Linked DNA regions of Xenopus tropicalis. The protein of the gene in region 1 interacts with the protein of each later gene in a biochemical or structural test. Links are inferred from orthologs where the notes say so. Each region holds a gene or a part of one and is shown on either strand. Other genes may lie near its edges.

Region 1 (3,821 bases):
CAGGATACTGGAATCAAAACTATCACTATGCTGGATGAACAAGGCGGTGAGCTAAATGCATTAACACATGAAACACTTTTATTTGCATGTTTCTCCACATGATAAAACTTCTCTGATGAAATACACATCCTTCTAGACCCCTCCACAGTGGTATTGTAATTTATTAGTTGCAGTGTTTAATGGGTTGCAATACTAAAGCAAGTAGAGAAAAAAGATATAAAATGCCCATTAGGATTATTTGCCTGGTTACCTATGAAACCAAGAAAACAGGAAAGAGATTGCATAGTTTTAAAATGGAATTAATAGTCTCCTTCGCGAGGCAACTTCGGCGATTTGCACGAAATTGCACCGCCGCGTGTGCCATCCCACCGGCGACTAACATTTTCGCCGGTGGGATGGCAGGGGAAGGCAACTCGGGGAGATTAGTCGCCCGCAAACAGGGAGTTTTGTCGCGGGCGACTAATCTCCCCGTGTGCCAGAGCCCTAAAAGGTTAGATTTCATATAAGCAGAAAAGGGAAGCTAACTCCCTCACAATATATTAATACCAAGGCACATTGTCAAATTAGAGATCACTGATATACTTATCTGTAAGAACAGGCGATTGAGATAGCTCTGTTGGTAACTGGTGACTGACATGTGGGAGGAAAGTTTTACTTTTAAACTTGAAATTAAAACCCACACTTCTTGCGCTGCAAGAGAGAAGAATTTGGTTGGGGCATGACTAGAGGGTTTCAGTCTTTGTTAAAATGCTTTAAGTCCCCTGTCAGCATTTCTCTGTGAGTGCACCACGGCTGCTCATTAATAAATGCTTCAAAATCAAATTTACACCCACTTGTTGGGGTGTAACTCTAATATACATTGACTGGAAATGCACTCCAACTGGTTAGAAATGCATCTCTTAATAGTTAAAGTGAATTGTGCTTCAGAATGCCTCATAACACATTTCTGGAGTCCACTGAACCAGCGGTTAAGCAGTATGGGCCCTCATCTTGTTTTGGTTGCAGTTGACATGGATAGTAGTCTGCCACTGCAAATGGGGTAATAAAATTATCTGATTCATTAAAGACCAGCATCTTGGGGTTTTTTGTTTTTTTTTTAAAAAAAAAAAGATATGCATGTGTGTATTGTTCTTCTTCAGAAAATGTAATAATGTTCTCTTTGTGTGCTGACTTTTTTCCTTTAGAACAACTAAATCGCATTGAGGAAGGAATGGATCAGATCAACAAGGACATGCGTGAGGCGGAAAAGAACCTAACAGAACTGAATAAATGCTGTGGCTTGTGTGTTTGTCCTGGCAAAAGGTTAGAGAACCATGCTTCATTAAGGAAAGAGCATATTTTACAGACTTCATAGGATTGCCGATTCTTAATTAATTAGGAACCTTTTGTAGACCTTGACTTTTGGTCTTCAGTGCATAGAGCTGTGTAATGGATTTCTAGAAAACTTTAGAAAGAGGTGGAAAATTCTAGTTGCAGGCTTTAGTTGAGGCTTACTTTTGAGATTGTAGAATAGTCAGGGGTACTGTATTGCTGGACGAGATGTTGGAAATTACACAGGCAGGTTACAGGTCCTAAACAGCCAAATCTCCTATAAACTATAGCAGACGAATGCGATAGCCAAAAGGGCACCATTGCCCCTTTGTAGCTATTGAAGCAGTAGTATGAAGCCTATATTAATATTGACATTGTCATACACCTATTTACACAGTTATGTAAACTATTATTAGTTCTGTCTATCTTCCTGGTTGATATTTACAGTGTCATACCATTGCTGTTCCATTACTTGGTACCCCTCCCTATGTGATAACGAGGGGAAGGGGTGGAAGGGATCAGCACACACAGCATGGGGAGCAGGCACTACACAGCTGCTAGATTACTAAAGTACGCTTTGGTAATTAGGGCACATGGAAAAACATTTTTAAAAGGATTTCACCTTTTGATGATCCTATTCTAAGAAACTTTTCACATGTTTTCTATTTCATTTTTTATGGTTTTCGGCCCGTATTAGCTTTTTTTTCTATTTTGCCATTTTCAGGACTGCTGCTAAAATTGCATCTGATTGTCATTTACTGGATCTGTTCAAGACATATACTATATATTGTGACCAGGTCTGTCCTGGGACAGGACAGGTCTGTCCCAGGCCTAATTGTGCCTTCCATAAGGCCTAGTTAGCCCATGGCTGTTAAAACTCCAAGTTCATTTTGGTCACAAGTGAAAGCAGAAATAGTTCTAAAACCACAAAAACCACAGTTGCATATTGCCTTAGAATAACAACGTCAACAACATACTATGTTCATTTAATATGAACTGACCCTTCTTTGAAGTTGTATCTAGAGATTCTCCTCTAGAGACTGGAATTGCTCACAAAAATAAGCATGAAGCTCATGATCCTTGGGCTCCCCTGCCTCTGAAGTATTAATTTGGAGGATGCTGGTGCAGTGTCAGACTGGCCTGGCAGGGTACTGTGACTTTTCCTGGTGGGCCCTTTGCCTTTTATGGAGCACATTAACTCTTTTTTAGTTTTTACATGTTCTTCTTATGTTTTGTTTATTCCCAGCAGTGAGACTGCTAGGAAAGACTTAGTTAAGGAGTCTGTGGTGGTGTAAGGGGGAAAAAAATAGAATAGTGGAGGGCACTCTGGGCTAAGGTACACTTGCCCTTTAAAAACAATCCACAAAAAAAAAAAAATATATGTATATACAAAAATCCAGGTGTTAGGGTTTCAAAAATCCCCCCCTAAGAGGATTATTTGAGGGTTTTGGTGGTGTAAGGGAAAAGACAGAGGCCAAATTTATTGCCAATTTTCCAGGAGGAAAATCCAGTGAGGCTGTTAAAGGGGATATATACCATACATTTTTGCAATGCACTAAACCATGTAAAATAGAAGGAAGTGCTTTTATTTTAATACCTTTGGGTTCAGATATGTCCATAACTGCTTGAAAACTGTGCTCTACCCAGACCTTATGCCAGCTTCCGGTTTAGACTCTTCAGTATATGGCTCAGGGCCACTGGCCCTCATAGACTTCAATGACACAACCTCACCTACTTAAAGTGAAGTGAATATTCATAGAGTGGGCAGGGCTTAGCAATGTCACAGCAGTCTGTTCCTACAAGCAGAGAGACACAGAAGGAGGGAGGGGTTTTCCCTGCTGCTGCTTAGTTAAGCCTGTCAGTCAGTGCTGTGACCACTTCCTGTGGGAGACTGAAGTGAGTTTTAGGAGGTAAAATGCTTTCAAAACATCTTTCTTTCTGCATCATTTCACATTTTGAGGGAGGATGAATATTATAACTGAATATGAACTTCATATAAAATGTCTCCTTTAATTATATAAAGCTGGCATGGCAGTTTCTCAGAATTTGAATTTGGTAGAGCAAGAGCTAATAGACTCCTCATACAACCATATAGTCTTAGCTGTGAACTGCACAGAGATAGAGATGTTCCGCCGGGGCTCTGTGCTGCCCTCTGCAGTCTGTCTCTATCCCATTATTGCTTTGTGGCCTGACACGGCTTGTACAGCAATACTGCAACAAACAGGAGAGCACAGCTGCCCCACATAGAATTAGTTCTGAATGTGTCTTTTTGAAAGTAGCCACTCTAGTTGCTGTGATATGCCCATAATTAAAATGTATCCTATAGACTTTAGGGCACTGGCATCTAGTGGCCAAAAACAGTGCCTTCTGGTCAAAACTATATCCGTTACATTTGAACAATGAACTTCTCAAACATGGGGATACCAGGGTTTTTTCTCAGTAAGAAGTAAAGGTTTTAGGGCTCTGGCTGTTAGGCCCTTGATTTCTGTTTCTCTGGTGGGCCTTTGGTG
Region 2 (4,397 bases), on another chromosome or scaffold:
AAACAAAATGATGTTTTTCACACACTGCCAGGCATTGTTCTTTAGTGCAGTGCATTAAGCTAAATTTATATTAATGCAGCTAGATCCCATCTTGCATAAACTGAAAAAAATGTGCAAAAACGGGCAATTTGAACAAATTCCAAATAAAATACTCAGATCCGAGAGCATGTTGACTTTTTTGACACAGTGAGATATACATATGGGATATAAAATGCTAACACTGCCCCTTTTAATTAATTTTGGACAAGGAATTTCCAATTAGCCAAGATTTTTCCCCAGGCCAGTGCTCATTTTGGGAAGAAAATCCACTCATCAGGGAAAAAAGCGCAACTCCTTTTTCACTAGTTGTAGAGTTAAATTTTACTGAAATGCGCATGTGTGAGTATAATAAACCTGAAGAGGGGCACCAGGGAAAGGCAAATAAGATTGTGGCATAGCGATGCCTTCATTTATTTTTTTTTCTTTCAGTGGGCTGATGCATTTTTTCATCAAAAAAAGATATATAGCATAAGTTAAAACTAAATGTTTATTAACATTAAACATGACCCCTTTATTGAAAATCATTACTGAAACACCACATGGGGTGTTTATCTCCAGGTTGTGAATCAGACCATGATATCAGCCTTTCCCTGTGCCTGAACCCAGAGCCATTGCATCGGAGAACACAGAGCAGATTTGGCGCTGAAATGCATTCTGCCGCGTATCAGGGTCAAAATCTGCTCAGCCTTCCACCACCTGGGCCAACGCAATGGATTTGAATGCAGGCACAGGAAAAAGGCTGATCCACGGACTGAGAACCAACACCATGTGGCATTAGCCTTAATCTGCTGCATGGGAATTTTGCCATCTGATGCACCATGGCTGCCAGAATAAAATGCAACATTTGCCACTAACAAGATAAAGTCAAGATGCTTGTTCTCTACATGTGTATATTATATATATAAAAAGAAAACATCCAATTTGTTGCAGCAGATTTAGGTCACAGTACACAGACTCAGTTTTCTTACCATTCAACAAACATTTGTTCAGTCACTTGCACCATTGTGAGACAGACTTATTCGACCAGGACCAGAACTACCCCAGCACAATCAATCTTCCTAAATAGATTCCACTCAGCATTCTACTGCACACTTTAGCTAAAGTCCAAGGAACAGAGATTCTGTAATAATTGATAAAAGTCTACAAAATAGTTACTATCTTGTACATTATGCAGCTTTGCCTCCCTTCCTTTTTTTTGTGTTTACGAATGATTTGCCTTTCTATCTTGCCAACCCCCCCCAAAAAAAGGCAGATCAACAATCCTAGTACTTATTAAAGTGGACTCAGAATAGTTAATATTATTTATGTATATGTTTAATCACATTTCCAATTATTTATGGCCTGTGTAACATGAGTGACAGTGACACAGTGTGGACTTTTGAGATATATATATAGCTCTGCTGAAAAAAAACTTTATTAGGTAGAAAGTCATTGGTAGCTAATGGTGGTTGATAATACAGACGAAGTATCACAGAGGGTGAGTCTCATTTGACATTATCATTGAAATTACTAAAGGCCCCAAGCACTTAGCAGACAGTGTTTCTTCAGCAATACTCATTAAGGAGACACTGTCTGTTGCGTTCCCAGGCTTGTGTGTCAGATATCATCCACCCATCAGGCTGAAGCATAGCTACAAACACAGGCGAACCCTGCCTATTCTACCTGTTCCCAGCCTATCGGTCTCTTACTGACCCTGGCAACTAGATATTAGTTTTAAAGCTGCACACAAATTATTATTCTACAAACACCAGTGGAGAGAAGCAGATCCTATGCAATGTGTGACTTTCCCCTAAAACATTTAGGTTTGCCGACTTGCCCAAGGAGGTATGAAAGCTGGACCCAAGTATCATATCAGTTTTGGTGGGACTCCATACTGTTAACAAAAGCCATGCAGGGTACTCTGTAGTCTCACTTTCTCATCCATTTACACTGGAGCACCCCAATCTACTTGTTGCAGCAATTAAAGCACTCCAGGTCGCTATCAGAACCTTGCAGTCACACAGTTCAGAAGGGCACCGAGATAAAACAAAGCTACATACCATAATAGCAAAGTCTAAAGTTACTTTACAAAGTATGTCTTTCTTACAAAGAGGTATCATATATATATATTTTTAATATCAAATAATGCTTCTTCCCGCAACAGCTAATGAACTTGCACCAAATTAAGTTGCAAGAGTAGAATGAATAAAGTTATCCTAAGCAACATTCCAATATACATTATTTATAAGTTTGTACATGTAAATACTATTGAAAACAGTGTTTCTCTCTAGTTCTTCTCTGGTTCTGACTCTTAACCAAATGTGTCAGTTTTCCTCCAACTAGCGTCTCCTACATTGTTTCAGGAGCCAAAGCAACTAGTGCCAAGAATATAAACAGACACCTTAATTTCTCTAAAACCATTACAATTGTTTTTATTGATGAACTTTGGAAAGTTACTTAGAATCACGTTCCTTTTAACAGAAAAAATACAGCGGCTAAGCCCCTTTAATATGTTAGCCTGAATTTGTATGAATGATCTCATAAAAACAACTGAACAGCTGCAGGAAGATGCAGTTGGACGCATCCATTTCCAGCCTACAGTCAATTGGAACATCCCTCAGTCCTAAGGACCGTTACTCAGTTAGCTTGGAAATAATCGATTTCACTCACCGCTGACAACTCTGTCAGCCGGTCCTTCATGCCCGTAAGTGCAGCTCGCCCCCCCAACGTCTCAGGTAGCAGCTTCCCGTTGAGTTTGCAACCACCACCTCCTTCTCTGCTTGGTGCCACAGTAGCCGCTAGTTCCTAGTGGTTATTTGTACCCCAGTGACATCATTGGCACGTTCCGCAGCCGTCATCTTCACGTTATCACGTGGTGTATGGGCGTATCCAAGTGACGTCCTTGTCACGTGATACACTGCGTCATCGTCACGTGGTGTACATGGTGTATATAAGTTCCACCTAAAGGCGCGACTTTTTGAAGTGCGGAGATCCTGAGTCACAGATGCAGAAGTCTTTGGTGCGTTGTCGAGACGACGGTGGGGTACCCTGTGAGTGAGAGATACAGAGCTCTGGGAAGTCTCTCGTGTCTTGTTAGTGGGGCATCTTGAGAGGGTGAGTGTTGCAAATGCGACTTTTGGTGGGGTGGCCCTGGGAGGTTTGGTCGGGCAGATGTGGCTCTAGGCTGTACTACTAGGTGCCCTTCTCTGCATGCCTTTTGCTCCCTACACTGCCTGCCCTGGGGGGGTTAGTGGGGTATTGGGTGGGGCAGCCCTGAGAGGGTGAGTGGCAAATGTGACTTTTGGTGGAGTGGCCCTGGGAGGTTTGGTAGGGCAGGGGTGACTTCTAGGCTGTACTAGGTGCCCTTCTCTGCCTGCACTCTGTTCCCTGTGTGTTCCCCTACTCAGCCTGCGCCCCCTACTCTGCCCCTTTTGCTCCCTGCCCTACTCTGTTGTCTGCTCTCTGCCTGTGTGCCCTACTCTGCCTGCCCTCTTCTCCCTGTGTGCCCCTACACTGCCTGCCCTGGGAAGTTTGGTGGGGTATTGGGTAGGGCAGCCCTGAGAGGGTGAGTGCGGCAAATGTGATTTTTGGTGGGGCTGGTGTTACTACTAGGGTGACTCTAGGCTCTACTACTAGGTGGCCTTCTCTGCCTGCCCACTTCTCCCTGTGTACCCCTACTTTGCCTGCCCTCTACTCCCTGCCTGTCCCCCCTAGTCTGCCTGCCCTCTGCTCCCTGCCTGTGCCCCTGTGTCTACCTGTGACTCTAGGCTCTACTACTAGGTGCCCTACTCTGCCTGCCCACTTCTCCCTGTGTACTCCTACTTTGCCTGCCCTCTACTCCCTGCCTGTCCCCCCTAGTCTGCCTGCCCTCTGCTCCCTGCCTGTGCCCCTGTGTCTGCCTGTGACTGCTAGGTGACTCTAGGCTCTACTACTAGGTGCCCTACTCTGCCTGCACCCCCCTACTCTGCCTGCCCTCTGCTCCCTGACTGTGCCCTCTGCCCTACTCTGCTCTCTGCCTGTGCCCCCCATACTCTGCCTGCCCTGGGAGGTTGGGTGGGGCAGCCCTGAGAGGGTGAGTGTGGCAAATGGGATGTTTGTTGGGGCTGGTACTACTGCCTGTGCCCTCTGCTGTTTTCCTGTCCCCCCTAGTCTGCCTGTCCCCCCCTGCTCCCTGCCTGTGCCTACTAGGGTGACTCTAGGCTCTACTACTAGGTGCCCTACTGCCTGCCCTGGGGGGGTTAGTGGGGTATTGGGTGGGGCAGCCCTGAGAGGGTGAGTGTGGCAAATGTGATGTTTGGTGGGACTGGTGTTACTGCTAGGGTACTACTGCCTGTTTCCCTTACTCTGCTTGCCCTCTGCTCCCTGCCTGTGCCCCCTAG

The links.
Region 2: the proteins of snap23 (region 1) and stx2 form a complex in vitro, tested with the Homo sapiens proteins (2 studies listed by BioGRID). The link is inferred for Xenopus tropicalis from reciprocal best matches to the Homo sapiens genes SNAP23 and STX2.

The regions. Positions count from the first base shown.
Region 1 is NC_030684.2:105,570,386-105,574,206, reverse strand, and holds part of snap23 (synaptosomal-associated protein 23), read left to right. Parts: coding exon 1-46; intron 47-1,184; coding exon 1,185-1,302; intron 1,303-3,821. UniProt on the Homo sapiens protein: Essential component of the high affinity receptor for the general membrane fusion machinery and an important regulator of transport vesicle docking and fusion.
Region 2 is NC_030677.2:157,776,917-157,781,313, reverse strand, and holds the start of stx2 (syntaxin-2), read right to left. Parts: upstream 2,844-4,397; 5' UTR 2,719-2,843; coding exon 2,689-2,718; intron 1-2,688.